Diceros bicornis minor: one gene and its partners. The protein of the gene in region 1 interacts with the protein of each later gene in a pairwise test. Links are inferred from orthologs where the notes say so. Each region holds a gene or a part of one and is shown on either strand. Other genes may lie near its edges. The genes, in order: SDCBP, CDA, DRAP1 and NADK.

Evidence for each region.
Region 2: the proteins of SDCBP (region 1) and CDA interact in binary tests that used the Homo sapiens proteins (3 or more experiments, as listed by UniProt). The two-hybrid records come from large-scale screens. The link is inferred for Diceros bicornis minor from reciprocal best matches to the Homo sapiens genes SDCBP and CDA.
Region 3: the proteins of SDCBP (region 1) and DRAP1 interact in binary tests that used the Homo sapiens proteins (3 or more experiments, as listed by UniProt). The two-hybrid records come from large-scale screens. The link is inferred for Diceros bicornis minor from reciprocal best matches to the Homo sapiens genes SDCBP and DRAP1.
Region 4: the proteins of SDCBP (region 1) and NADK interact in binary tests that used the Homo sapiens proteins (3 or more experiments, as listed by UniProt). The two-hybrid records come from large-scale screens. The link is inferred for Diceros bicornis minor from reciprocal best matches to the Homo sapiens genes SDCBP and NADK.

The regions. Positions count from the first base shown.
Region 1 is NC_080772.1:11,906,270-11,913,480, forward strand, and holds the start of SDCBP (syntenin-1), read left to right. Parts: upstream 1-4,200; 5' UTR 4,201-4,301; intron 4,302-7,211. UniProt on the Homo sapiens protein: Multifunctional adapter protein involved in diverse array of functions including trafficking of transmembrane proteins, neuro and immunomodulation, exosome biogenesis, and tumorigenesis.
Region 2 is NC_080752.1:37,612,601-37,620,291, forward strand, and holds the start of CDA (cytidine deaminase), read left to right. Parts: upstream 1-4,684; 5' UTR 4,685-4,729; coding exon 4,730-4,883; intron 4,884-7,691. UniProt on the Homo sapiens protein: This enzyme scavenges exogenous and endogenous cytidine and 2'-deoxycytidine for UMP synthesis.
Region 3 is NC_080770.1:7,367,903-7,374,943, reverse strand, and holds DRAP1 (dr1-associated corepressor), read left to right. Parts: upstream 1-4,220; 5' UTR 4,221-4,391; coding exon 4,392-4,433; intron 4,434-4,670; coding exon 4,671-4,743; intron 4,744-4,854; coding exon 4,855-4,948; intron 4,949-5,263; coding exon 5,264-5,383; intron 5,384-5,480; coding exon 5,481-5,595; intron 5,596-5,832; coding exon 5,833-5,921; intron 5,922-6,292; coding exon 6,293-6,398; 3' UTR 6,399-6,527; downstream 6,528-7,041. Other genes in the region: C31H11orf68 (UPF0696 protein C11orf68 homolog), read right to left, coding at 2,353-3,109, 3,809-3,930. UniProt on the Homo sapiens protein: The association of the DR1/DRAP1 heterodimer with TBP results in a functional repression of both activated and basal transcription of class II genes.
Region 4 is NC_080752.1:22,581,496-22,589,115, forward strand, and holds the start of NADK (NAD kinase), read right to left. Parts: upstream 3,014-7,620; 5' UTR 2,916-3,013; intron 1-2,915.

The DNA of each region.
Region 1 (7,211 bases):
TGTCTTCCCAGGATCCCCTTCAACATCATCCTTCAACTCTTTTTGCCCCTCTCTTATGCTGAAGCCTCTGTGTTGTAGGAACCTTCTTACTCTCTTTTCCTTTTTCTTGTTGTATTCTTATTTTTGTGCAGCAAATATATATTTACTTTATCATTTACTTCCTGAGCTAGGGAGCATGAGAGAGAAACTTTTTGCTTCCTTGTATATAGAAAAATCTCTTCATTTCTACCGCACTTGAATGATATAGTTTAGCTTGGTATAGACTTCTAGGTTAGAAACCACTTTCTCTTATAATCTTGAAGGCATTGATTTATTGTCCTCTAGCATTGTCCTTCAAGCATTTCCAGTCCGTTCGGATTCTCAGTCATGGGTATATGACCTGTTTCTTCTACCTGAGAACTTTTAGGATTTTCTCTAATGTTCTAAAATTTCACAATGATGTGCCATGGTGTGAGTCTTTCTTAAAATGAACTGTTCTGGGTACTCAGCGGGTCCTATTAACCTGGAGATACCTGTTCTCCAGTTCTGTACTGTTCTAGCATTAGTTAGAACATTCTTCTTCTCATGTTCTCCTTCTGGAACTTCTAGTATTTGGATGCTTGACTTCGTGGATCAATCCTTGATCTTATTATTTCTCTTCTATTTACTATCTTTTTGAAATTTTAATCCTCCTTTCTGGAAGAAATCATTGACTTTACCTTTTAAAGCTTTTAGAAATTTTTTACGTTTTTGTCATTATACATTTTAATATCCAAGATGTCATTTTTAAAGCATAACATTTTGAATATTCCTTAAAAATATCATTCTGTTCCTCTTTTATGAATGCAATAACTTCTCTCTCTGAAAAAGATCAATGATGGACTTTTAACATTTTTTGTCACTGTTTCTTCCTATTTCTGTAAGTGAGCATCAGTGAGGTCATCTTGTTACACTAAATGGCCCCAGCCCCTCCTCTGTGTGACTACTTGCTGCTCTGCACATACTCTAAAAAAATTCGCATGCTCTCCTGACTCGTGGCCTCTGCTTACCTATGTACTCCCCTATAGCTTGACAAATTAAAACTTTGTTCTATGAGTTTCTCTCCAGGAACAGGTTGACCATAGGAGGGAAACACACCTACAAGTTATCCATCACACCTGACAGAAGACTGGAACAATGTGATGCCTGGAGCCTAACACGCCTGGAGAGCAACATCTCTGGACCCCCTCCCTACAGCCCATTTTCCCTACATAACTGCCTCGAGACTCTGTAATCCTTGAAGATGGTTTTTTTGAGACCTTAGTCTGCCATCTTCCCAATTATACTGGCTAATCAAATTAAAGCTTCCTTTCTCAATCCCTAACTCATTGTGATTGATTGGCTCAGATCATGGCAAGCAGAGTGAGCCCATTGCTCAGTGACATTTCTCTTTTTTTCCCTCTGTTTGTTTCTTCATACTAGAGGCTTCTTCAAATTTGGGGGAATCTTCGGGTATCTGCTCTTTTGTTTTTTTTTGCAGGGAAAGATTTGCCCTGAGCCAACATCTGTTGCCAATCTTCCTCCTTTTTTTTTTAATCTCCCCAAAGCCCCAGTACATAGTTGTATATCCTAGTTGTAAGTTCTTCTAGTTCTTCTACATGAGCTGCCACCACAGCATGGCAACTGACAGACGGGTGGCCATCGAAGCAGTGAGCACTGAACTTTAACCACTAGGCCATCAGGGCTGGCTTGGGTATCTGCTCATTTTTAAGAGTGGACTAAAAACAAAGATGGGGCATGGTAACTGGGGGACATCGTTACAGGGTGATTAGGTCAACTGTCAGTATCTTCAGGTCTTTTCTCTTGAGTTTCTCCAAAGAGGTATCTTTCAATCTACTGCCTGCATGGAGGCAGGGGATGGCAACAAGCCTGAATGTGAGCATCCCTGAAGCCAATGGACAGATGGAAAAAAGGGGACCAGGGTTTCACTATTCAGTATACAGATATTTACTCACCCTCGCTTCATTCACTAGGGAGTAAGTCTTCAGTTTTCTGTAGACATAGGTGATGGACGCATCAAGGTGATTCTGCAGATCAAGATGTTGACAGGGCTGGTTCCTTTTCAAGTCTCCAGGGGAGAATTTGTTCCTTATCTTTTCCAACTTCTAGAGGCTGCTGGCATCCTTTGGCCCATGGCCACATCATTTCAATTTCTGCTTTCTCCCTTACATCTTCTACTACCAACTTTGATCCTCTAGCTTCTCTCTCTCTCTCAATCTCCCCATCTCAAAATACTTAACCTGATCACACCTGCAAAGTCCCCTTTACCATGTAAGGTAAGATATTTACAAGTTTTGGGGATTAGGACATGGCCATATTTGGGGGGATATTATTCAGCTTACCACAACTGATAACTCACATGCCACTTCAAATTTAATAAATCCAAAAACAATCTTCTAATCTTCCCACCTCCTATTTCTCTCATCTTAGTGTACCCCACCTTAGCAAATGTGCCAACATCCACCTACTCGCTCATGCCAGAAACCTGGTACTTACCTTAGGTAAGATACCTCCCTATATTTAGTTCACATTACCAACTACTAAGCCTTCTTGAATCTTTATTCTAATATTGTTTGGATTTCTCTGATTTTTCTCCATCTTCACTGTAATTGGCACATCAGGACTACTGTAGTAGTCTCCTAGTGTGTCTCTGCACATCCCAGACTTATCCACACATCCAATCCATCCTCCAAGCAGTAACCACAGTAATCGTTTTACAATGCAAATCTAATCATGTTACTCCTCAGTAGCATCTGTACAGCCCTGCCTAATTCTCCAGCTTTTTCTTAAGCCATTCCTTCTCTTACTATTGTGTTCTGGCCAAAGTGGCCTTTCAGCTTCTGAAATGCATCAAGCTTCAATTTAACTGCAACGCTCTTGAGTTTGCTATTCTCTTTGCCTGAAACACTTTTCCTCCATTTTTCACTTGGCTAATTCTTACTCTTCAACTTTTTTTTTTTTTTATCAGGAAGATTAGCCCTGAGCTAATCCTCCTCCTTTTGCTGAGCAAGATATTGGCCCTGGGCTAACATCTGTGCAAATCTTCCTCTATTTTGTATGTGAGTCACTCCCACAGCATGGCTGAGGAGTGGTGTAGGTCTGTGCAGCGGTCCTGGGCCCTGGGAACCCAGGCCACTGAAGCGTGTGTGTGTGTGTGTGTGTGTGTGTGTGTGTGTGTGTGTGTGTGTGCAACTTAACCACTACACCACAGGGGGTGGGGGGCAGCACCTTGTGTCATTATTTTTAAATGTCTATTTTATCAGCTAGACCATAAACTCCCTGATGGCAAAGATTTCGTTTTATTTATTTGTCATCTCTTTTATGCTCAGATTTTTATTTCTTTTACCATAAATTACCGTGGCACTAAATTTGGCTAGAGATAAAATGCTCCTAAGTTAATGTTACTTTGTCAAGTACTTATGTTACTCCATGGGAACGATATGGTAAATGTAGGTAACTTAGGAAAACTGTCTCTCAGTGTTTTTGTACGCTAATGGGGTTGTTATACCTATCTAACAGCTTGATGTAAGGACCAAATAAGACTACATACATCAAGCTGTTGGGACAGCGCCTGGAATACAGTTAGCCTTCAAGAAATACAGTTTTTTAGTTTTTGAATTAGGATACAGCTACTACTTTTGTGCGGTACCACACATAACTTGCAACAGCCAAGGAACTTCAGGTTAGATGGACAGAGAGTAATAAAAGCCAAAGGAAAAAAGCTGTAACACAAAGAGGGCAGGAGTTGAGAAGCGTTAGTGGGAGGAATGTTTCTGAGCCTGAAGGTGGTAAAGCGAGAGGGTGGTGATGAGCTGGACCATAGTGGTGGAAGTCCAAGGTTGGCGAGGAAATCTCCAAAGGATAGGTTCTCAGGACTCTCTTTGTATTGGAGGTGATGGGAACCAAGTGACCACGAGCGCAAACCCCTCACAGTAGTGAGCGGGAGGCACTGGGCCCCCGGGCACGAACCATTAGGAGCGTGGAGAACGTGGCAAGCACAACAGGTGGCAGCGTGGGCAGCTCTACCTTCCCCAAGCCCGGGGAGCCGCGGCAGCGGCGCCACGTCCGCCCCCGTCACCCGCCTCCCCTCTGCCCCGTTACCTTGGGGACCGGGTCACCTGACTGCGCGCCGTGCGCCTGCGCGGGCCGCGGGCAGGGGCGGGGACGGCGCCGTGACGCGCCTCGCGGGCGGGCCTGGGGCGTGCGCCGTTCCCCTCCCCTCGGGTCTCGGAAGTCCGTGCCAGCGACCGAGGCGGCGGCGGCGAGCTGGTCCTGTGGCCTGGGTGAGCAGCTCTGGGGGAAAAGAGGGACGCTCAGCCGCGTCCCGGGCGTGGGGCGGAGGGGCGGAGGGGCGGAGGGGCCGCGGCACTAAGCGGAGAGCGTCTGGGTCGCGGCGGTTTCGGGAGGCGGGGCGGCGCCGCCGTCCCCTAGTGGGCTCCGCGCCCCTCCTGGCGCCCAGCCGGGCCCGGGGCGAAAGTTGGCGCGGGCGCCGTGCTCTGCCTGCCCGCCGCCGCCGCTCTCAAGGGCCCGCCGGGGCCGGGGCGCAGGGGCGGGGGCGCGCGGTCACCCCGCCGCAGTCAGCGGCTGCTCGGCGTTGCGGTCCCCGTCGGCGCTGTTTGTTCCTCCTGGAGAAGCTCCCCGGTGCCCGGGGCAGAAGGAGCCGGGCTGCGGTTCCCCACCCTGCTCCGCGTTCCTGGGCTGGACTCACTCACCTGGCGTGGTGCTTAATCGGACTGTCGCGGATTTGGAAGGAGGGAGGAGGTGTTTGTTGAGTGGGCGAAGCCTTGGCTTTCTGGAAGGGGATGGAGGAGAGGGTGATTCGCTGTGCGCTTATTTATGGAGAAATTGGAGGAAAGAGAAACGTTTCCAGCAGGGTGTGTGTTCAGAAGTAAGGTCCCTTGAGATCTAGTGACTCAGAGCTTTCATTTCAGGATTTCCTTGTAATAACGGGAAACTGAAGACATAGGGACGTGGAAAGTTTTCTTTTTCACCAAAGTGGAATTATGTAGTCATGGAGTCCTCTAATGTGCCAGTTTTTGAAAGGAATTTCTAGGTTTATCTAGTCTGTATATATTATCTGCATACAGATTTACCGCTGTTTTTTCTAGTGTGTAAGTACATTACTTACAGAGTACACTTAGTGTACCAGACTCTTAACATCTGCTTACTTCAAAGAGAAAAATAATTGATTAATAAGGAAAATTACATTGAAAAACAGCTGCAAGCTCTTAGCTTAATCGCAGGTATATATAAGTGATTAGTTTGCACTCAGATTTGTCCCGTCTTTAGTTTTTCTGTTTGAGGTTAAGGACAAACAGTAAAAAATGTTTTTTCATTTTGTCTGTTACCAACTTAGTTCTAAAAACTTTTGTAGTTTAAATGGTATGTAAATATTATAGATCAAGTGGTTTGTGCCACAGAATAAAAATAAGCAAGTGGAATGTGTTTTAAAAGATGCAGGAAATAGTCACTCCATTATAATCCAGATTTAACTTTGACAACATTAATTTTTAGTTATGTTTGGGCATTATAAGAAAGGATATAAAAATCACGACCAAAAGAGGAAGAATTTACTAATAGTTGGCAGTTGAATGTACTGTTGGGTAAAACAGTTCCTTAAATTGAGAATGATTCAACTATTTTTCCTGTTTTTGCCAAATTTAGGTAATTTTTAGGTAGTAAATGCTTAGAGTTTCTAAAAGGAGTCCCCCAAACAACTTTAAAATATATATATATCTAGTAATAGTTATATTAGCATTTGTTAATTTCTTTCCAAGTGATGTGAACAGTTTTTGTACATTTATTTAGTTTTTGAGGAGGTAAGCAGAAATATGGCTCAAAATTGAAGCAATAAAAAAGATACACAGTTTTAAGTCGTCTTCCTTCTAGGTCTTCCAGCTAACCATATTCCCTTCCTGTGGGAGCCAACCATTTTACGTTTTAGATATCCATACAGGGATATTTTATACCTATACAAACAAACATATAAATATACTTTCCCCCTTCCTTTTTTTTTGTGTGGTAAAATACGCATAACATAAAATTTACCATCTTAACCATTTTTAAGTGTACAATTCAGAGGTGTTAAATACATTGATATTGTTGTGTAACCATCACCACCATCCATCCCTGAACTCTTCATCTTGTAAAACTGAAACTCTGTAGCCATTAAACAATAACTCCGCATTCTCTCCTCCCCCCAACCCCTGGCAGCCACCATTATACTTTGTGTCTTTATGATTTTGACTACTCTAAGTACCTCATAAGTGGCATCATACAGTATTTGTCTTTTGTAATTGGCTTATTTCACTTAACATAATAGCCTCAAGGTTCATCCATGTTGTAGCATATTGCAGAATTTCCTTCCATTTTAAGGCTGAATTATATTCCATTGTGTGTGGATACATTTGCTTCTCCGTTTGTCTGTCGGTGGACGCTTGGGTTGCTCCCACGTATGAGCTACTGTGAATAATGCTACTGTGAACATGGGTGTACAGCTCTCTCTTCAGACCCAGATTTCAGTTCATTTCAGTATATACCCAGAAGTGGAATTGCTGGAAGTGGTAATTCTATTTTTAATTTTTTGAAAAACAGCTGTACTTTTTCTGTAGCACCTGCACCATTTTACATTCCCACCAACAGTGCACAAAAGGGTTCCAATTTCAGCACATCCTCACCAACACTTGTTGTTTTCTCTTTTTTTGATAGTAGCCATCCTAATGAGTTTGGGGTGATGTCTTGTAGTTTTGATTTGCTTTTCCGTAATGATTAATGACTTGGAGCATCTTTTTATGTGCTTATTGGCCATTTCTGTATCTTCTTTGGAGAAATGTCTATTCAAGTCCTTTGCCAGTTCTGTTTGTTTTTTTTTGTTATTGAGTTTTAAGAGCTGTCTAAATATTGTGGATGTTAATCCCTTATCAGATATGTTATTTCCAAATATTTTCTCCCATTCTGTGGGTTGCGTTTTTACTCTGTTGGTATTGTTTTTTGATGCACAGAATTGTAACATTTTCATGAAGTCCAATATGTCTGTTTTTCTTTTGTTGCCTGTGCCTTTGGTATATCCAGGAAATCATTGCCAAATCCAACATCGTCAATCCTTTGTCCTGTGTTTTCTTGTAAGAGTTTTATTGTTTTAGGTATTAAATTTAGGTCCTTGAATTATTTTGAGTTAATTCTTGTATATGGTG
Region 2 (7,691 bases), on another chromosome or scaffold:
AGCAGCAGCACGTGAGTGTTCCAGTCTCCCCTCATCTTTGCCTGCACTTGTCGTCATCCTAGTTTTTTTTCTTTTTGGCATTCTGATAGGTGTAAAGTGACTCATTGTGTTATTTTCATTTCTGTGACTATAAGGAAATTGGGCAAATACTTCCTGCCATTTGGGTTCCCCCTTCTATAAATTGCCCATTCATATCCTTTGTCCATCTCTTTATAGAGTTTCCTGTCTGTGTCTTGTTGATTTGCTGTCAATTTCTTACATAATCACTACGCTATTCGTTTGTTATTGTTCTAGCCATCGAAATTTTTTTTTCAGTTTTTTTAACCTTCTGCTAGCTTTGTCTATGAAGTCCTTGACTGAACAAAACTCCTTAATTTTTATGTGGCCAAGTTCGAAGACTTGAAAATTTGTAGAGAAGTTCTTTCCAGCCCTATTTCTTCCGTAAAATACCTGTTCAAGCCTTTTGCTTACTATTCTATTGAGATGTTTGTCTTTTTCTTACTGATTTTAGGAATTCTTGATGTATTATGGATCCTAATCCCTCTAGGGAGTGTTAACTCCCTGACATTTCTGGCCTCCCCTATGCATGGGCTAAGCACACTCCTGTGCCCAGGGTATGCATAAGGTAGGAAGCCATGAGTATGTCCAGGATCTATCCACTAAAGCTGGAGGTGGCCTCTGGGGTGGCTAAGGGGGTAGATGAGGCACTGACAGCATCTGCTATACCCACTGGATTAGTTCCCTGGGACCGCCATAACAAAGTACCACAAACTGGGTGGCTTAAAACAACAGAAATTTCTTCTCTCACAGTCCTAGATTCTGGAAATCCAAAATCAAGGTGTCAGCAGGGTTGGTTCCTTTCGAGTCTGTAAGGGAAAATCTGTTCCATGTCTCTCTCCTACCTTCTGGTAATGGCCATCAATCTTTGGCATTCCTTGGCTTGTAGATGCCTTACTGCAGTCTCTGCCTCCATCTACACATGGTAATCTCCCTGTGTCTCTGTGTCTTCCATGACCATCTTCTTGTGAGGACACCAGTCATATTGGATTAGGGGCCCACCATATTCCAGTATGGCCTCATCTTAACCAATTATACCGGCAATGATCTTATTTCCAAATAAGGTCACATTCTGAGGTACTGGAGGTTAGGACTTCAACATATCTTTTTTTGGGGGGGGGCATGATTCAACCCATAACACCCACATTGTCCACTCTGAACATCCAGCCATCATTTAGGACTCCTCTTAGCCTCCTGTCATCTGGGAAGCTTTCTCCAGCCCACCTCCCCACCGCTCCCTCCAGATAATTAGTTATTCAGTATTGTCACAGGACCCAGTACCTAATTGTGTGTTATAGTGTTTTATACCTATCTATTGACTTGCCTGTCTCCTTCACTAGAGTATGAGCTCCTCAAAGGCAGGTACCAAGTCTCATTCAACTGATTCTCTAGTGCCCTGCACAGGGCCTGGCACACAGTTTTCATTATAATAGGAGCTAATACTTGTTGAGCACTTACCACGTGCCGGTCACTGTGCTAAGAGCTTTACATATAACATCTCACTCAATTTTTACAACAATCCTAGGAAGTAGTATTTTAGCCTAGATGCCATAGAGCTGACAGAAACAAAACTTAAAAAAGTTTAAGCAAGAAGTGAATTACTGGCTCAATAGAAGGAAAGTCTAGAAGCATGCCTCAGGCATGGCTGGATCCAGGCACTCAGAGGGAAATCAGGGTTCTTTCCCTCCACCTCTCACCTCTGCCTCTCTCCACCTGGCTTCACTTTGCAAGCAGGCTCACTCTACCCGGAGGGCAAGCTGGCCGTCAGCAATAGTCACATCCTCTTAGCTTAGCCACCACAGTGGGAGAAACCAACATTCCCAGCAGAAAGGTGAGGTCTCTGATGGGCCATCCTGTGTCAACTGCCTAGGCCCACCAGGGAGTGGAAGCACAGTGACTGGCAGCCCATCAGGAGGTCTCCCCTAAAGGGGACGAAATAAAAGAAATGAGAAACCTTCTCGAGCAGAGTAAGGCTACGGTCACCATAAGCCACCCTAGGTGGGTCCTGGAGTTGTCTCACTGTATAAATGAGGAAAGCAGGGCACAGAGCGATGAGCTACCTTGCCTAGGTACCCAGCTGGTAATAAGAGGCAGAAGGAGGATTTGCCAGTCCGTTATACCCGCTCCGCATGAGTTCAGGGATGGACAAGAGTCCAGGATTCGGATGGAGGCAGACAAACCCGGGTTTGAGATCCATTTCTGATCCCCATGAGCTCAGTGTCCTCATCAGTAAAACGCAGGCAATAATATGGCCAGTGTGTACCTTGTGGTAAGGATTACATGAAATAATTCAAGTCCTGCATTTAGCACAGGGCCTGGCACATGGAAAGAGCTAAAGCAGAGTTAGCTATTATTATGAGTAACTATTCATTGAATGAATGAGTGGGTGGTATCTGAGCTCTAACACAGGGACTCTGGGTGGTTCTCTTCACAGAGGAAAGGCCTAGGGGATGGGGGTGGGGGAACTTTGGGCCCTTGACAATCTCCACCACCACTCAAAATACCTTCCTTGGATATTCCTATTCTTTGAGTTAATTCTTTGGGCAATTAATTTCTCTCAATTTTATATAAAGTGGAGATTAAAGCATGTTTAGAAAATTCTGTTAATATTATTGATCTATAACTTAGCTCTAAGAAAGTCTCCAGGCCCATGCTCCCTTTCCATCCAGATGGCCACCCCAAGCCCCTTCTATAAGGAAATCTAGAGCTACTGCTGGCTCCCAAGCTCCATACAGCGGAGTTTGCAATGGGCGCTGTCCCCATTTATTACCATGTGCCGGGAAAGAACTTCAAAGGTGCCAACGGCCATCATAATTAGCCTGGAAGTCATCCCAGTTTTCCTGTAACTGGGGAGCCAAGGAGTCCAGCCCTGGGTCTGGGCAGAGCTGGGGTGAGTCAAGACAGGGCAGGAACAGGCCTGGCAGGCCAGCAGGGCACCACACCCCTTTTCCCAGTTGTAGTTATACTTGGCCACCAGAAGCCTTAGAAGTATTCCCATGTTGAGTGGGTACACATGGTCCCAGGACATCCTTTGCTTTCTTTCCCTGGGGAAAGGGCATCTGGGCAGTGCAGGAATAGAGGAGACCGGGAGAGCATTCCCAGTGGTTTCTCTGCCTGCCCTGCCTCAGATCCAGGAAACTGCTCTAGATGCCAAAGGTGTAGATCCAGGAGGAAAATGCAATAGCAAGCAGGAGGGAACCAGCTGCTTCTCTGAGGGCTGGATGTGCAGAAAGGGGGTGGGGGAATTCTGAAGGGGGGAAGGGAGGGGAGGGGAGGAGGAAATGAGGCAAAGTGCCCAACTCTACAGTGGCCCAGCAGGGTCTCTACGTGGCTGAGAGCTCCAGGCCCAGGACACAGAGGGGCCAAGGTGCAGGACACAGGGATGCTGGGCTGCAAAGCACAGAGATGTCAGCATGCAGAACCTGGAGACGCGGCCTCATTTTCTGCCCCCTCCCCTACCGTTCCCCCTTCCCCTTCCTCACCCCCCATCCAAGCCCTCAGAGAAGCCGCTGATTTACTCCTGCCTGCTGGGGGTCTGGGGACATTTGGACACCTCTGGACACTGTTCTGCCTTCCTATGTGATCTTAGCCAAATCATTTAATGACAATAACCCAATCCGCATGGAGCCACAAAGTGTGCTAACATCATGATGTCACAGGATCCTCCAACCATATGCATTGTATACACATTACCTCATTCGATCCTCGCAACAACTCTGTGAAATACCGTTAGTGCACCCACTTTACAGATGAGGAAACTGAGGCTTAGAGGGGTGGTATGACCTCCACAAGGTCATACGGCTAATAAGTGGCAGAACTGGAATTCAAACTAGGATCTACCAAACCCCCACACTCAAGCTCTTCTGTGATCTGAGGACGTAGCACAGAGATTAACGCTATCCCCACTGTAGAGACCAGGAAACTGGCTTAGAGAGGTCACGTAACTTGCCACCCATTACACATGTGGAAAATGGTGGAGCCAGGATGCAAACCCATTTCTTTTAGCACCAACCCAGTGTTCATTTTGCCAACAAAAATAGGAGAAGGCCCCGGTAGATGATCTCTGAAGTTCCCTCCAGCTGAGATACTTTTTAAGTTCTGTGTTGAGGCAGCGAGGAGTTGGAAGGAGAATGGGTGAAATAAGGAAGCTCCTCAATCTTATTGCTGCACTCACACTATGTGTCTCAAGAATGTGGCTGCCCCAGCCCCTCCCTTTCAGCCTCACTCCTTCCCTCAGTGACAGAGAGAAGAAGTCATTCAACAGAGAGTTTCAGCCCTTGGAGCTGGGACTTCCTAGACCTCATGCTGACCCGCCCAACAGCATCTCCTCTGAGGAGTGTGTGTCCACAGTCACCCCCAGCATGGTGGCACCCGTCCCCTGACCCACTCACCCATCAGTGAGGCAGCAGTGTGAGTGGTCCCAAGGGAGAGTGTGAAGCACACATCCTTCCATGCTGGACACACACTAGCTCAGCCTTACACACCACACCCTCTGACTCAGAACTACTGGACACTCCTCTCCCTGAGCGGGCCCCGCCCAGCATCCCCGCAGGCGGGCATCTGGCAGCCCCTCCGCAGGGACACACCCGGGGGGAGGAGCTGCCGTCTTAGTGGGGCCCAGCTCAGGCAGACGGCGAGCTTGTTTCCTCTCCTCCGCAGCCCAGGAACCGACATGGCCCAGGAGCGTCCCGCCTGCACCCTGGAGCCCGAGCAGGTCCAGCAGCTGCTGCTCTCCTCCCAGGAGGCCAAGAAGTCAGCCTACTGCCCCTACAGTCACTTCCCTGTGGGGGCCGCCCTCCTCACCCGGGACGGGAGGATCTTCTCGGGTAAGGGCTGGCGCCCGGGGGCCCCATCCCTGGCAGCCTGGATGGGGAAGTCAGAGGACAAGTGGACAAGTGGGAAGGACACACAGAAGGCACAGGCAGAGAAGAGAGCAGCTCTGTCCCCTCCTCCCTGAGCATCCCCTGTAACGCTGCCACTCACCCCTGCCCTGCCCACTGGCCCAGACTGCGGGATTGAAGGTGTAAAGGAGCCCCGAAAACTCATCTGCTGCTTAAATCTAGGGGCTTTCAATTCTTGGAGGACTGGGAAGCAAGGGTGGGATGAGGAAGCAAGCTGGAGGGGAGGCATCCGCAGTCCTGGTGTGCGGGGAGGGAGAGGGTTAATACTTTCTGAGCCCTCCTCTGTGTCTGGACCCTCTAAGGCTCCCACAAGTTCTATCAGCAAGTCCTCACCTCCGACCCACTGACCTAGGTGTTATGCCCATTTTTCAATGAAGAAACTGAGGCTCAGAGAGATGACATGACTTGCTGAAGGCCACACGGGGCGCTGGTGGTGGAAGCCAGGGCTGGGGTCCCCAAAACCCTGCTTTTTCCCGTCACCCACCATGCTAAGGGATGGAGAAAGCCCGGAATCCAGGTCAAGTGACTTGTTTGTGGGGTGCGGGCCTTGCAGAGGGTCTTGGAGGAAAGAAGCCAGGCTGGGTTTGGGTGACCAGCAATGAGTGCCAGCCTGGGGAGGGGGGGACAGGAATCCGAGTCAGCACAAATCTGTTCCTAAGCAACTTTTCTTTGGTTTGTTGGTTTTATAAAAAAGCTCACTTGGACAAAATTTCACACTTGTTTTTGCTAAGTTAAGGGGCATTCTATTTCAGGACAGTGGGGAACATGCTGTGGAGGTGGCAGGGAAGCCAAGCCCCTCCCCACGCCTCTCATTCCCACCACCACCCCAGAGCAGATGAGAATTGGCACAGAGGGACGGACGGGAGCACCGAGTCCTGCTGCCTAGAACTCCCCCTCTGCTTGGCAGCAGGTAGTTAAAGGAGCAAAGACTCACATGTGTGCATCGAATTGGTAACCCCCAGCACCCTGGGCCAGGTGTGAGCCACTCGCCCCCACCACCACTCAGCTGTGAGTCTGCTGCGGCCCCCGCCTCACCTTCTATAGCTCTCCTTGATGTTCATGTTATCTCTTGTCTTTTGAGGTTCTGTCAGTTTCATGAGTCACCCGGGTTTTAAACATCTTTGAGCAGGAGAAGGAACCTTGAGTGAGTCCTAATACATGAAAGGAACGTGCCTAATGTTACCCATCTAAGCCTTAGAACCCCGCAAGGTGGTTATTACATCCCCACTTTGCAGAGAAGGAAAGAGGCTCCAAGAGGTTAACTCGCAAGAACTGGGATTCAAACCCAGGGCTCCTCTGACTCCGAAGTCTGCTCCTCTGAGGGGAACAAAGGATCTCTGAGTCTCATGTGGAAGTTCAGGCTTGGCCTGGTGGCTCAGACAGGTATTAAACATTGCAACCCACGCTGCCCCACGGCTCCAGGGCCATGAACATGGAATCAGCTACTGATTCTTCCCAATGCCTCCACATCTCCTCCAGACGGTATACAGGAAGGGGCCCTGCCCATCCTTGCATTGATTCATTCATTCCACAAATATTTGCCGAGCACCAATTATGTGCTAGGTAACGTACCAGGTTCTGGGGATATCACAGCAGAAATGACATAGTCCCTGCCCTTAAGGAGGTCCCCTCCTCTTGCACAGGCCATAGCTCAAAGTGGGATCCTCAGCCAATGATTATAGGAGTGAATGAATGAGGTGAGCAGGAGTGAAGCCTATTTAAATTGCAGAGAAGGACCTGGTGTCCCCAGAGAAAGGGTTGTGCAATGTGGATTCAGGGAGGCCCTGTGAGATGGGGTGAAGCTCGGGAGTTAGAGGCTCCTGGGTTTGAATCCTGGTGCTGCTGTTTATCAGCTATGTGACCCTGGGCAAGACCCTTGACCCTTCTGAGTCTCAGCTTACACGTGAGCAAACGGAGGATCATTACGCCCGCTTTTCAGGATGGCTGTGAACAGAGCAGGTTTGCGTGGCCTGGCGTGGCAGCCAGGGTCCCCCCTGACGTTTGGAGCCTGTGCTGCATCAGTCACTGAAAATGCTGAGTCTCGTGCCTGGTTGTGAGGCTTTGTAGGAGCTAATGCCTATGAAGGGATTGGCACGGTTTCTGGCCCACAGTAAGACGGTCACATATGATGGCTGCTTCTACTTGGACGATGATGATGATGATGACGATGAGGGGGAAGCGGATCGTGGAGGCCTTTTGAAGGCCAAACAGAGACATTGAGATTTGATGAGGTAGGAAGTAGAGAGCCCAGGAACGTTACTAAGAAGAAGAGCAACGTGAAAGTGGTGTTTGAGGACAGTTAGTCTGACAGGTACTCAAGGAGCGCTGGGGCAGAGGGAAGAGTGTCAGGGGGACCATGTCTGTCTTGTTTGCTGACCTGTCCCCTGTGCCAGCGCATTTCCTGGCCTGTAATACATCCTCAGTTAAGCTTCGGTGAACGCGTGAATGAGCGGCTTGGACTAGAACAGTAGCAGGTGGAATGAAGAGCAAGGAAAGATCTCAGAGATATTGTGTGGGACAAATGGACCGGGCCTGGGATTGGCAGTATTAGAAATAAAGGAAAGGAATATGGTTCTAGGACTTCCAGTGAGGTGGGCCGGGGGAGTGATGAGGCACGGACCGAGGTGGGAAGCTGAAGGCAGAGCTGGATTATGCTGGGGGCATGATGGGCAGGGACCAACAGCAACATTCAGAGACACGATGGATTGAGCACTCACTAAGCACTCGGTATGG
Region 3 (7,041 bases), on another chromosome or scaffold:
TGCGGGAGAGCTGGCTGTGGGGGCACAGGGGGGAAGTGGGAGGGGAAGCGGGCAGAGCAGGCAAGTGCAATGGTTTGGTGAAGAGAGAGTGAGGAATGGGCTAAAGCAGGGCCATGAGGCTGGAGAAGGGATGAGCGTGTCAAACGCTTAGTTATGGAAGGAGAACCAGGCGGTGTTGACACCCCTTGGGCATCTTTGGGGGACCCATGAGGGCCTTCCCAGGATCCCCCACAAGCCTTGGCGCACTTTGGTCAAGTGTAGAGCACTGACAGGCTGGGGGAGGCAGGGCACCAGGCTCCAAGGGGAGACCACTCAGCTCTGGGGACTTCCCAGGGCTGGGTTTAGGGGGGACTCAGCCCTGGGGAAGCTCAGGGTGGGGAGGAAGCTGGGGAGGGGGCTGAGCCAGCATCTCATGACTCACCCACTTCCACCCAGTCAGCCCAGTGGCATCTCCGCTCCCCTGCTCCAAATTCCAATTTGGTGAGGCTGCTGGAGGATGAGTCAGCTCCGGCACGGCACGAGAGCAGTGTCCTAAGGGGCTCCCTGCCAGACACCCTGGCCTCCAACCAAGGCCAGGGCCAGGCACGGGGTTGGGGGGTGCAGAGCCAGGCTCCGAGGCTGCAGCAGCCTCAGCTGATCGGGGTGGCCCAGTGAGATCACGTGAGGGAATGTGCCTGGAGCTCCCTGTGGGTGAAGCCAGGGACCACACTCTGCCTGAGGAGGAGGCAGGGACCGGGGTGCAAGGCCTAGCTCTGCCCGACTCACCACGACTCTGAGGGAATTCCCTTCCCCTCTTGGCCTCAATTTCCTTGACCACAGAATGGGACCAACATCTCCTTTTAAAGAGGTTGTGATTAAATAATGCATAAGGAAGTGCTTTGCAAACGTTCTGTGGCCCGTGATGATTAGGGTGGTGGGAGAGGTGAGTATAAACAGGAAAGCTTCCAGGGTCACTTATGGTTGTGCAGGTTGTTCACTGCACAAGGATGTCCAGCCTAGATTTCGGAAATCCAGCCTATCTGCTGCTCACCAGACCGTGTGCCCTGGCCCAGAACTTCTAGACCAAGAGGATACCTTTCTCTAACAGGCGCCAATACACCCTGTAGGTTAGTAGTGGCCCCTCGGACTTTGCTGGGTTGAGCCCCTGGATTTATGGGAAATCACTGAGAAACTGATTCTGATTCTTAGGATGGAGGGGAAGCAGGGCTGGCTTTGCAGAGGCTCTCAGAGAAGTTCTCAGGCTTTTTTTTTTTTTTTTTTGGTGAGGAAGATCAGCCCTGAGCTAACATCCATGCCAGTCCTCCTCTTTTTGCTGAGAAAGACCAGCCCTCAGCTAACATCTATTGCCGATCCTCCTCCTTTTTTTTCCCTTTTTCTCCCCAAAGCCCCAGGAGATAGTTGTATTTTATAGTTGCACATCCTGCTAGTTGCCGTATGTGGAACGCGGCCACAGCATGGCCCAACAAGCAGTGGGTCGGTGTGCGCCCGGGATCCGAACCTGGGCTGCCAGTAGCGGAGCACGCGCACTCAACCGCTAAGCCACGGGGCCAGCCCCTCTCAAGCTTGGCAGTGAGGAGTATCTTATTATTGGGGGATGTTAGGGGGGCCCCATCAGAGCAAAGGGGCAGTCTCTCCTGGCCCTGCGTCTCTCCAGCAACCAAAGCAAGTAACCACCAACACAGTATTTTAAAAAACACTCAAGACACAGACCCAATCTGGGTTTTATTGAAATGCCAGGAGCAGGCACATGACAAGGTAGTGAAGGAAGGGAGAAAGGTGGTGCAGGCTGTGAGGGGGCAGGGAGGGACAGGCCCCATGTCCATGGCCCGGGCATCTTCTCTCTCTGCCCAGGGCTGAGTGGGCACACTCATCCCCCCAACAAAATGGCATGCTCAGGCCTGCAGGGCCTCTGCCTGCTGGTCTGTGAAGGCTCCAAGGAGAGAGACTGGAAGCCCTAAGTCTTTTCTCTTGTGAGGGAGGAAGAGAAAAAGGGGAAGATGCAGGAGAGGGGGGAGGTACAGCCAGGGATGAGGGCAGCCAAGGAAGGCTCTCCTCCTGGGGGTCTGCACCCAGCCTGCGGTCCTCGATGGCAGAGGGGAGCAGCAGCGAAAAGAGAGGCTGAGGGTCCGGCCCTCAGGGAGCCAGAGCCTCCAGGGAGCCAGAGCCTCCAGCCGGTGGGGACTTGAGTCAGCCCTGAACAGAGGGCAGAAGTTCAAGGGGATTGAAGATGCAGACAGTTCCCGAGTGACCTAGTCCTCAGAGCTGGGGGACTTGGCCTCCTTGGGACAAGGAAGACGGGAGGATCCATCCCTGGCAGGGAGGGCAGAGAGTGGTCTCCCCTACTTGGCCCTACTAGGTCAGTTCCACGTTGTTGGCGCGGTCCAGCACACGGGAGCCGCGGGCACTGCCCCCCAGCTGGAAACGGCTCTCATAGAGCGTGGGGCAGAGGTGCCAGCGGTTGGCCCGGTAGATGCCCAGGTAGGTGTAGACGTCAGGCTTGTAGGTGAGCAGGCACTTAATGCCTGCTGCACGGATGGCTGCATCGGCCTCCAGCACACCCAAGCGGTCCGTGAAGTCGTCCGTGTAAACACAGATGACCTGGCGCCCACCCTCCCTGGCCCGTGGGCTCACCTTGGCCACCTGAAGCCGGCCCTCGACCACGGCCCGGGCAATGCCGGCCCAGGCGTGGTCCAGCTTGAAGCCAGGTGCCAGGTGCATCAGCCACTTGCCCGAGAGCACGTGGTGGGTGATGGCCAGCTGGCGCAGGGTACCTGGCGTGATGGGCCGCCCGCTGGTCTGCAGAGCTTCCCAGGCTGCCTGCAGGCCCTGCACGTCGCCTGAATTGGGGACGTAGCCCTGCCCATATGCTGCAATCCAGCCCACGGGCTCCGAGTTGGGCGAGCCAGGGTCGCCATAGCGGGTAACTTGGGATGGCGGGTACTTGGCCAACCAGGCATCCAGCTCTGAGGCAGGTGTGGTGCGGGCATCAAACACCAACCAGGGGTCCATGTCAGCTGCCATGGCCTCCGCGGCCAGATGCTCAGCAGTGAAGCCATCCTCCCGGCCGCCTGGAGAGTCCTCCTCCTCCAGCTCCTCACCTGGCTCCATCCTGAAGCGAGGGAACCGAGTTAGGGCAGGTCCAAGACAGATCTACAGCTTACTGGGCCCTAGAAGGGTGCTAGGCACTAAACTAAGCTGTGTGGCTTTGGGCAAGACTTAATGTCACCGTTCCTCTGTTGCTTCATCTTTAAAATAAGTAACAACTGTTCCTGCCTTGTAGAGCTGTTGAGAATTAAATGCCTGACGCGGAACACGAGCTACGTAAGTGTTGTTGCTAATGTTATCACTACTGTCCCTGACTTACAGATAGGAAACTGAAGCTCAGAGAGAAGGGACTTACCCAAGGTCACACCTGTAGAGAGTGACAGGGCCATAATGTGCATTCAGGTGTGGAAGCAGCCGGCCCAGCCACACCTCCTGGCCCTGCCAGTCACTGGCAGGTCCCCGAGCGCCGGGATTTAATGGAGGGAGGAAGACAGGCGCGCAATCGCGCAGCACTGGGGCAGGCCCTGCAGGGCCAGGCCTCCCGGGGGGGTGTCATCGGGCCTATTTAAAAACCAGGACATTGAAGCCCAGAAAGGGCTGTGACGGGTCCGAGGCCAGTGGGGCGGTGCCCGGACTCGAACCCAGGCTGGTGGGAACCTGCGGGAGGGCCAGCCGCCGGCCAGCCGCGCCCGCCGCCATTAGCGCCCACGGCCCGAGCTACGCTCCCGCCCGGCCCTGCCCCCTCCCGCCGCCCAGCCGTCACCTCCGGCCTTCGCTGCGCTCGGCGCCGGCCCAGCCCCGGGCCCGGCTCCGCTCCTGCCGGGGCTCCGCGCCGCCGCCGCCGCCGCGCCCCGCCCCCGCCACGGCTGCCGCCGCCGCCGCCATCTTAGCGCCTCGCCGCCTCAACAACAACTTTATAGACAAGCGCAGCGCGGGGCGGGGCCCCCGGGCCGGATCGGCCGCGCCGCGGGGCGGGGCCGACGAGGGAAGGGGCGGGGCAGGTGGGGGCGGGGCTGACCCCGGGGGCGGGGCCGTCAGGGAGCCCGGGGAGGGGCGGGCCTGCGTGGGCGGGGCTAACGTTCGCTCTCCTGGCCTTGGGCGCGGGTGGGAGTGGCGGCCCTGTCCCGGACCGACGTGCACCGCCCGGGAGGCTATAAGGGGAGGGCACTCGAGCCCTGGGAGCGGCGTCTTGACTGGCGGCGCTAGGACCCCGTGGGGAGCGGCAGGGGCGGAGCAGGCGGCGCCAGGACCCGGGGGAACCGCGGCGGGCGGGCGGCGAGCAGGCCCCGGGGCCGGGAGGCTGCGGGCGGCGGCGCTGGGCCCGGCGCGGCGAGAGAGTCCCCGAGATGCCGAGCAAGAAGAAGAAGTACAACGCCCGGTTCCCGCCGGTGAGCACGTGGCCGGGCCCGGGAGGAGCGGCCGGGCTCTCGTGAGGCTTGTGCCCAGGCCCCGCTGGGGGGGCGGGCGCTTCGCGCTGTTCGGGGGCCCGGACGCCCCGCCCCCTTCCGTGCCCTCCCCGCGTCCGTGCCCCCCTCCCCCCTTCTCCTGGGATACCCCCCTCGCTCGCCCCCAGCACCCCTTTCTGGGTCGGAGGCCACGGGGTCCGAGCTCTCTCCCTTCCCCAGGCGCGGATCAAGAAGATCATGCAGACAGACGAAGAGATTGGGAAGGTGGCGGCGGCTGTGCCTGTCATCATCTGTATCCTGTTGGGGGCTGGTTGGGTTGAGGGACGTGGGAGAGGGAGGCAGCCCGGGGTCGCCTGTGTGGGCTGGGGACCCCCCTAGCTGCGTTCTCCTTGACACCCCTCAGCCCGGGCACTCGAGCTCTTCCTGGAGTCGCTATTGAAGAAGGCCTGCCAGGTGACCCAGTCCCGAAATGCCAAGACCATGACCACATCCCACCTGTGAGTGGCTGCGGAGCTGAGAGGGCTGAGTGGGGCCGTGCCCCAGGAGTTCACACAGTTAGGGGCGGCTGCGTTCTTATAGTGAGGGAGGTGGGAGGCTGCTGGGAAACCAGCCAGGCCTCCAAGACTGGTGGGTTTGAACTGGGGGAGGAGGAGTTGGGTGTTCCAGCAAAGCGGGGGAGGTCGGGTGGTGGAGATGGGGTGGAGGCTTTCCAGGCTCTGTTCTCCTGACATCCAGAGCCTCTTACTGTCCCTTGCTGAGGACCCAGACATCTGGGCCCCACCTGAGTGTCATCCCCTCCCCATCTCTTCCAGGAAACAGTGCATTGAGCTGGAGCAGCAGTTTGACTTCTTAAAGGACCTGGTGGCATCTGTGCCTGACATGCAGGGGGACGGGGAAGACAACCACATGGATGGGGACAAGAGTGCCCGCAGGTGGGGACCGAGGGCCAGTGTGCAGGTGGAGAAGGCCAAGGCCACCAGGGTTGGGGGTGGCTGGGGGGTGATGAATGGGGGGGTGACCTCTGGGCAGATGGACTGTACCTTCTCGAAGGGGCCGGAAGCCAGGCAGCAGTGGCCGGAAGAACGGTGGGATGGGAAGCAAAGGCAAGGATAAGAAGCTGTCGGGGACAGACTCGGAGCAGGAGGTGAGTGAGGCCCCCAGCCCTCTGTCTCGTAGTGTGCAGAGGGCAGGCTTGTCTCAGGCCGGGCTGGCTGGAGCCTGGTTCCATCCTCACCTCTTATCTCTTTGTACCTTGGTTTTGTTGTTTATAAATTGGGACTATGGAGGTCACCCTCCTGTCCCTGCTACTCTCAGGGGTTTGTGCTTTCCAGTGATGAGTCCATGCCTTTCATGTCACTTCTCATCCCTACCTTGCTACCAGGATGAGTCTGAGGACACAGACACCGATGGGGAAGAGGACACACCGCAGGCCCCACCCCAGGCCAGCCACCCCCCCGCCCACTTACAGAGGTAAGCAGCTCAGTGGGCGCCAGGAAAGGGCCAGCAGACTCCCCAAGGCTGACTTGTCCCTCCTGGCCTCCATGACCACTTGGATCTATTGGTTGTGGCAGATTTGGGGCATGGGAAGGGAGAAACTGAGGAGGGCTTAAAGGTAGGAGACTGTGCTCTCCGAAGGTCCCTTCCACTCTTGGGCGGGGCAGTGGATGGGGCCTGGGCAGGGACTGTGTGACCTGCTTTGGGCCCTTCCCTTCTCTGGGCTTGGCTCCCTATTGGTACCGAGGGCGGTGGGCTCCATGCTGCCCGTGTGGAGGGCAGGGGGTGGCTTAGGGGTCAGGAATGAGCAGTGGCCTGACCTTCCTCTCCTGTTTTCTGCCTAGCAGCCCCCCGACACCCTTCATGCCCTTTGCCTCAACTCTGCCTCTGCCCCCAGTGCCCCCAGGCCCCTCAGCACCTGATGCAGAGGATGAAGAGGATTATGACTCCTAGCGCCCTCTGCCCCCCAGGCCACACCCCTTTTTAGTTGGTTTTGGTTGTTCTGGGGGGAAGAGAGAAGGTAGAACTGTTCTTAAATTTATTAAAAAAAAGAAATAAAAGGGAATGCCAGTGTTTGTCCCAGCCTCTGTCTAGGGCTTTGTGGCCACCTTGCCATCTTTTCACCTGCCTTCTCCACACTGAGCTGGGGCCAGGAGTGGTGGTGGGCCAGGCAGCAGCAGAGTGAAGGGAGGGGCTTTACGTCACAGTTATGCCAGGGCAGGCCCAGTGGTGCTGAGGGAAGGAAGGCGGGCAGGGTGGTGTAGGGCCTGAGCCAGCAGGTACCCATTATGCCGGGAGACAACCTGTTTCATCGTGCTGTGTGACCCTGGGCAGGTTCCTACCCTTCTCTGAGCAGCCTCCTCGCATCTCTCTGATGGAGACCATTCTGTCCCTGCTAGGCTGCTGCAGAGGGATAGATGCGACAGGTAACAGAACAGGTCTTGAAAACTAGAACTTGGGCCAGGTGCCACGAAGGGTGTGAGAAGGGGCACTGGGAGCAGAGGTGGGCGAGATTGTGGAGGGCCTTGAAGGCTGGCTCACGAGAGAGCAGTGACACAGCACCACACCGGCTGTGGCCACTGTGAGTGGTGCAGGT
Region 4 (7,620 bases), on another chromosome or scaffold:
TACACATGGGGTAAGCTGCACAGAATCACACGCATGTAAAAACTGGTGGAATCTGAATGAGGAGTGTAGGGTAGCGAATGGTATTTTTCCAACACCAATTTCCTGGTTTTCAAATTACTGTATTATTGACATGTAAGATCCAGGGGAACGGTGCAGGGGTTTCTCTGTACTATTTTTACAACTTTCTGTGAGTCAGTCTACACTTATTTGAAAACAAACAGCAAATTAAAAAAAGGATAAACCAATCAAAACCACAAAAGGCAAATGTTTTTAAAAATCGTCTATTACACATATCTAGAAGCTGTTAAAATACACTTGCCAAGACTAATTTGGTGACTAAGCAGTAAACGAGTTCATAAAATAATCATATTAAATATTAAAACCAGCTTTTAAAATTTATCTCACATTTGGGCCGGCCCCGTGGCTTTAAGCGCGCGCAATCCGCTACTGGCGGCCCGGGTTCGGATCCTGGGCGCGCACCGACGCACCGCTTATCCCGCCATGCTGAGGCCGCGTCCCACATACAGCAACTAGAAGGATGTGCAGCTATGACATACAACTATCTACTGGGGCTTTGGGGGGGAAATAAATAAATAAAAATTAAAAAAAAAAATTTATCTCACATTTAATTCAACTTTGTTTGGTATGTTACTGTTTTAAAAGGATGAAATTCCAACTCCATCCAAGTTCATTCAAGTTCCTGACAGCAAGAATCTAATTCGAAAAGACAACGTCTGCATTGGAAAGTTTTTAGAGAAGAAGTGTTGGAGCAGAGTAACAGAGTGTTCGTGGGTAAAGGACTCCCAGGGTGGTGAGCAGAGACGCTGAGACGCCAAGAAACAGGTGAAGGACCCAGCAGAAGCCACACACACGCAACTGTTCACTGACACACACATCTCCAGTGTGAGCTCTCAACACCTATTTGCTGAAATACTGAATGAAAAAGGAAAGTTTAGGGGCCGGCACAGTGGCACAAGCGGTTAAGTGCGTGCACTCTGCTGCGGCAGCCCGGGGTTCGCCAGTACGGATCCCGGGCGCGCACCGACGCACCACTTGGCAAGCCATGCTGTGGCGGCGTCCCATATAAAGTGGAGGAAAATGGGCACGGATGTTAGCCCAGGGCCAGTCTTCCTCAGCGAAAAAAAAAAAAGAGGAGGATTGGCAGATGTTAGCACAGGGCTGATCTCCTCACCAAAAAAAAAAAAAAAGGAAAAGGAAAGTTTATTTGGTGACAGAAATGGGAAAATGTTCAACCTCACTAATTAACACTGAGTTGGAAAAAAAGTGCCTATGAAATTGCCCTTCTCTTCTCCCCCAGTAAATAACACCCAATGCTGCAAAGACAGTGATAAAACCGGGCACTGGCAGTGAACAAATCAAGAAAGACCTTTTGGAAAGTTGGATGGCAACGTGAACCAAGTGCCTGAGCCCATGGACTGAACAGGATGAGAGACCTGAGGGGCTCTACAGACAGGTGGCTGCTCCTTCCTGGGCAGGTGAGGAGAGGGGTCTGTGCAGGTGTCACCCTCCCTCACACACCTCCTGGGCCACACTTGCTGGCTCCTCTGAACACTTTTCACGGGTAGTCTAGACACATATTTCCTGTTCCCATGCACTGGACCTTATGCCAGTTGTGGGTAGGGAGACCGCAAAGGGTAAGCCACCAGCACAAACAACAGAAATGGAATCCTGGAGTTACAAGCTGACCCCCACTTGGCAGGATGTGAAGCCTGGAGGAGGCCTGCAGGCAGAAGTGCCCCCTGCCCGCCCAGGGCTTCTCTGGCTCTTGTAACATCCAAGCCTACAGAGAAATAGTGATTGGAGGTAACAAAGATGTGGGGCCATCAACTCCCGTAAAATACCACCCGCCTCTTCATTCTGCAGGTTAAACCTATCTTTTCTCAAGCACTAACATACGCAATAAAACCAACTGTTGTTCCCATTTCCTTATCAGGGAACAGACTGGTCGGCCGGAATCCCCACCCCCGAGAACTGCTGCTGGGAACCCCCCAACTGTCCAGGGACTCCCAGCCGTCGGGGGCCCTCAGCCGTCCGGGGCCCCCCCAGCCGTCCCGTGCTCGGGTGCCCGGAGGACAGGACGCGGGGACTCCGGGAAGGGGCCTGAGGGCGCCGTCCGGATGAAAGGACACAAGTCCCTGTGTCCCGCCCGTCCTTCAGAACCAAGGCCCCTGGGCGACCCCGGCCCAGCCCCCTACCGCGGGCATCGGCAGGTCACATGTGCATTCTAACCTAATTGATCACCCCATGAGGACTGGCTCTCGGAGGTATCGCCAAAGCGCGGACTCGGGGCCGCCCAGCAGCCGTCCTCCGAGATCGGGGTCGGCCCGCTCAGGCCCGGGCCCACATCGCGGAGACGCCCCATTCCCCGACTCCTCGTGACCCCGACTTCTGGTGATCCCGGACCCCCGCGACCCAGACCCTCGGTGACTCCGACCCCCCGCGACCCCGATCTCCCGTAACCCTGGCCCCCCCGCAACCCCAACCACCGGTAACCCCGATCCCCGGTGATTCCGACCCCCCGCGACCCCTGTCCTCCATGAACCCAATCCCCCGAGACCCCGACCCCCGGCGACCCAGACCTCCGGGAACCCTGGCCCCTGCGACCCCGACCCCAGCGATCCCGACCTTGGGTGATCCCGGACCCTTGAGACCCGACCCCCGCTGACTTCGACCCCCGTGACCCCGATGTCTCACGAACCCAGTCCACCGAGACGCCGATCCCCGGCGACCCCGACCTCCGGGAACCCTGGCCCCTGAGACTCCGACCCCAGCGACCCTGATCCCTGGTGACCCTGACCCCAGCGCCCTCGACCCCCGGTGACTCTGGCCCCCCGCGACCCCTGGGAGCGGCGACCCGGGGCGGCAGGCCCGGCCGAGCGGCCGCGCGTACTCACCGTTCGCTGCCGCGGACGCCTGCGGGGCCTCCCTCTCGCCAGGCCGAGCCCGCGGGCCCCGCCCCCCGGCTGCCGCTCGCCGTCGCTACCCGGCTCCTGGCGCCGCGGCCGCCCCTCGCCCCATGGCCGCCCCCGCCCCACGGCCACCTGGGCCGCGGCGCCGGCCCGCCGAACAGCAAAGCCGCCGCGCTGCCAGTGCGCACGCGCACCCAGCCCGCCCTGCGCATGCGCCTGCCCGCCCCGGGCACGTGGGGCGGTCTGTCTGGACGCCGGGACCGGGCTGGGTGAGGGCGGGGGCCGGGGGCCGGGGGCCGGGGGCCGGGGGAAGGAGGCCACGGTAGAGGGGAGGCCATGGGGCGGGGGACGGGGCATTCGCTGCCCACACCTCGACGGCGATCCCGGGAGGACGACACCTGGTCTCCGCTCACTCCGTCGCGTGGGAAGCTCGTCTGCCCTCCCGCCCGGGCCCGCTGACCTGCTCCTGTCCCGCCCCCGCTCCCCTCTACCTCGGGCCAGGTGGGCTGCCTGCGGTCCCCCACGAGTGGTGATACCACCCGCCGAGGATTCCATAACTACCAGGGTGTGACTCTGCTTAGGAGGAACAAGTTTGGGGAACCAAAATTCGGTGTGAGCAGCTGCGACAGAACCGCACCCCTCCGCTGCCGGCTTAGCTGGAGGGAGCGAGCCTGCCCCCAGGCCCTCGTGGGCTTCGCCCACCCCAAGCAGCCTGGCGGGTCCTTGCACACCACCTAGACCTCAGGGGCTCTGGGCCTAGGGTCTCAAAGGGGCCCCTCCAGGGTGACCTGCCAACACTGTTGTCGTGTCGTCCCCCCCCCCCCCCCCCCCCGTCCCCGTCCCCGTCCCCGGACTTAAGGACCCAGAGGAGGGAGGAAGGGAGCCAAGGCCACAGTACCAACTTTGTAGCTTCTGGTGTAGCTGCGGGCCTCCCCCAGTCCAGGCACCTCCTCGAGGTGGGTGGGTTCTCCCAAGGCTTGCTGAATTGACGGTTACCCATCACTAGTGCATTCAGAAGTCGTGTCCCAGTGGTGTGCCAGGCTCCTCGGACATGTCTGTGAATAAGTTGGTGCACGGTTACTGTAGGAGATGAACCCGGGCAGTGCACTTTGGGCTGCTTTCTAACCTGCCTGGCTCCCCAAGTGCCAGCCCTTATTCCTTCTCTACACTTGGGGTTCCCGGACATGGAGCACCAGGCCGGTGGCCCCCAGGCTTCCCCACACCGGGTACCTGCTGTTGTCAGAATTCTCTGGCCAGGATTCCTGGCTCTGTGTCTAGAGACCTGGAACACGGCTGGACACAGAGCAGGACACGTCTCACTGCTGTCCTGGGACCACTGGGCAGTGGGGTCACAAAGCGTGAGTGGAAAGAGGGGCAAGGATAGCCGGAATTTGGGGGGATTTCTCAAGCTCTGTAACTTCCTCATCTGGTTATTTTGTAAACCTGACTGCTTCCCCAAAGTGACCACCAGCCACACCCACAGAAGAAGCCTTTTGAGCTGTGTTTTTGGATGTGATCATTAACATAATAAAAATACTAATGCTTGATCCAGGACTTGCTACATGCCTGGCACTGGGCCAGGCTTCCCAGGAACCTTCTGAGCAGGGACAGTCTGAGAGAAGGCACTGAGGCACGAGCTCTGGCCATGTGACTAGCCGAGATTACACAGCAGGCACCCTTCCTGTGTACACGTCTCTAAAAGGAACTTGTGCAGGTGCGTGTCTGTGATCAGGGACACCCTCTGTCCACCCTGGACCTCGAGACTTCGGGGAAGGGGCGCTTCCCCATTTCAGAGATGAGAACATGGGTTGTGGCTTCCTTCAGCTGACGCTGGTTGTGCAGTCTACCCCAGCAGGCCCCGGGGCTGACCCTGGGGATTCGGGGGCCTTGAGCTCATACCCAGTCCCCCAAGGGCTTCCTGCAACAGCGAAGGCCAATGCTGGGAGAGGCAACTTAGGGCATCCGGAAGGTTCCTACAGGAGGTTTCGCATGAGCTGAGTCCAAAGGCTGAGCAGGGATGAGCTAGCTGTGGTGGGGAGAGGGAAGGGCCAGCAGCGGGGCCAAAGGCCGGTGTGGGGCTGGGGGCTGGATGCCAGTCAGGCCAGTTTGGCTGGGCAAAGGATGAGGGGTCTGCCTTAGCCTGCTCAGGCCGTGGGGGACATGCTGATGCCTTAACCTTTCCCAGCACCAGGCTACCTGCAACTCTTAATGTGATTTGGTATTTGTTTCTTTGTATTCTTTTTCTTAAACATGGCTCCTCTATTGTTGAAGTTTCAGACCCCCAAAACCTTGACCCACCCTCTTCTGAGGTTTGAATGATACAGCGGGGTAGGTGGAGTGGGTGGTAGGAGAAGGGGGGAGCCTGGGCCATGAAGGGTGGGCAGGATGGGGCGGCCCACCTAGAGCTGACAAGGGGGTGCCCCTGGATTTTGGGTGCAGTCTGGGGGACTCCTTGGCTCTAGAGTGCAGGCGGGGGGGGGGGGGGGTGCTCCTGGCTCTCAGGTGCAGGGGATGGTGGGGATGCTCCTCTTCGGGAACCTGCTCTTAGCTCTGAGGAAGTTGGCCTCAGCTGTGCCTGGCTGTGGTGAACCGAGCCTGCTCAGCACCTAGTAGGGGAAGTGGCCAGGAGCCTGGGTGACAGGCAGCTAAGAGGGTCTGCAGCCCCCTGTGGAGGAGGTGAGTGTCTCCAGCTTTCCAGAGGTCATCTGGTCCATCTCCCAGCCTCTGGCCTCCAGCCAGCACGCCTAGGACAAGTCTGGCCTCTCTGCCCGGCCTTACCCAGTCCTCCCCAGGGGCCAGTGTCTGGAATAGCCCACTTGGCAGTCTCCTCTTTGGGCTGGTTTTGGGGTTCAGAGCAGAGTGGTGGGGGCGGGGCGTGGGGAGCGCCGAAGACCCCGTCGTCGCAGGGGCACGGCGGGCTCCGCGTTAAGGGCCAGGCACTGCTCGGTGCTGGGGACGAAGGGAAACCCGTGCCCTGGTGCCTGCGCAAGCGCACGTGCGCGCCAGGTGCCTGAGGAGGCGCGCCCTGCCTCCGGAGCTGAAGTGAGCACCAGACGCTGAGCGGGTGGCTGGGGTCAGGGCCCGCGAGGTCACTGAGAGCCCCAGGCTTCCAGGGGTGCAGCGGTGGGCGGAGCGCGGACATCGCACCACGAGTGGGGCCGGTAACCCGGGCACAAGGGGCCGGAGGCTGCAGAAGAGGCTGGAGGAAGGGAAGGGAGAAGGGCTGGCACCCTGGAGGGAACGCAGCCAAGAGCAAGATGTCACTCAAGTGCGTCAGGCTGCGGGGGCAAAGTGCTAACAGGCCCTGCTCAGGCTCCCAAACTTGAGTTTGTGCCTGAAGTGTGAAAACGATTGCAGCTCACACTCAGCAGCACCGGTTGCCAGCTGCTCTCGGAATGCCCCTAGTGGCACCTGTTTTCAGTGAGGGCTTTGCTGAGAAACTGGGACAGCAGTCTCCAGACCAGTAGAGGGGCTGCGCTGTGCGGCCACTGGGTCAGGGAGCAGGGGACATGCTGGTGCCAGGCTGGGGCACTGGAAACAGGGATTCCCGAGGGGAACAAGTGCCCGTCTGTGGGCCGGCCAGCCAGCCTTTGCTGGGGCTCCATTTGACCCTGTACCTGCCTGTGCCCCTCCAAGGGTGGGCCACCGTGGGCTGGTGTGCCCCTGCTTCTCAACCCCAGGAGACCCTCCCTCTGGAGGACTCCGGCTGCCAGCCCAGGGAGCACCTCAGATGCTCTCTGGCATTTTCTAAGACAGCTGGCAGCGTTAAAACTTGCAAAGAACAGATTTATTTCAGGGAAAACTGGAGGAGGAGGTTGAAGCCAGGTGAACCCACGGTTCAGGCTGCCAGTCACCCAGGAGACAGCACCCCTGGTCCTGGCAGAAACACTCAGAAGACCTCGACAGGGGCAGCCGAGGCCCCTCCCCAGGCAAAGCAGGAGGCCCCTGCTGCTTGTGCTTCCTGGTGGTGGAAAAGGGAGCCTGCGGCAGGAATACTTCCCACTGAGAGCAGTCTTCACTTATTTATGAAGTACCAGCGTTTGACCCATGAAAATTAGAACCTTGAAAATAAAGATTGTGTCCTTCAGCAGAGAAGACAGGAAGGGGCAGGTGGGAGGAGGTGGAGCAAGCGCCCTCCTCGGTGACACTCGCACTCAAGCTTGGTTTCTCATGCTTGGTGGCAGATGCTCATTTTTTTTGTTTTTTGGTGAGGAAGATCAGTCCTGAGCTAACATCTAGTGCTAATTTTCCTCTTTTTGGTGAATAAGATTAGCCCTGAGCTAACACCTGTTCCCATCTTCCTCCATTTTGTATATGGGATGCTGCCACAGCATGGCTGATTAGCGGTGCGTAGGTCCGCGCCGGGATCCAAACCTTCGAACCCCGGGCCACCGAAGCAGAGCGTGGGAACTTACACACTACGCCACCAGGCCGGCCCTGATGCTCATTTTTTCTTACAAGATGCAGTTCTTTTTATTCAGACTATGATGAAAACCGTTCAGTCAGAAGGAAAGCACGTCTCTGGAGTAATGTCCTCAGGTATCTTAGGGAGGGAAGAGGAACGAATGGCCGCCAGCTGGGCTGCAGGCCCAGACAAGGTGAGAACGGCAGGACAGCTGCCTCGGGAGACCCACAGCGCCTGGGGAAGCGGCCCAAAAGGGGGATGGGACAGGGCAGTCTGGGTTGTGAC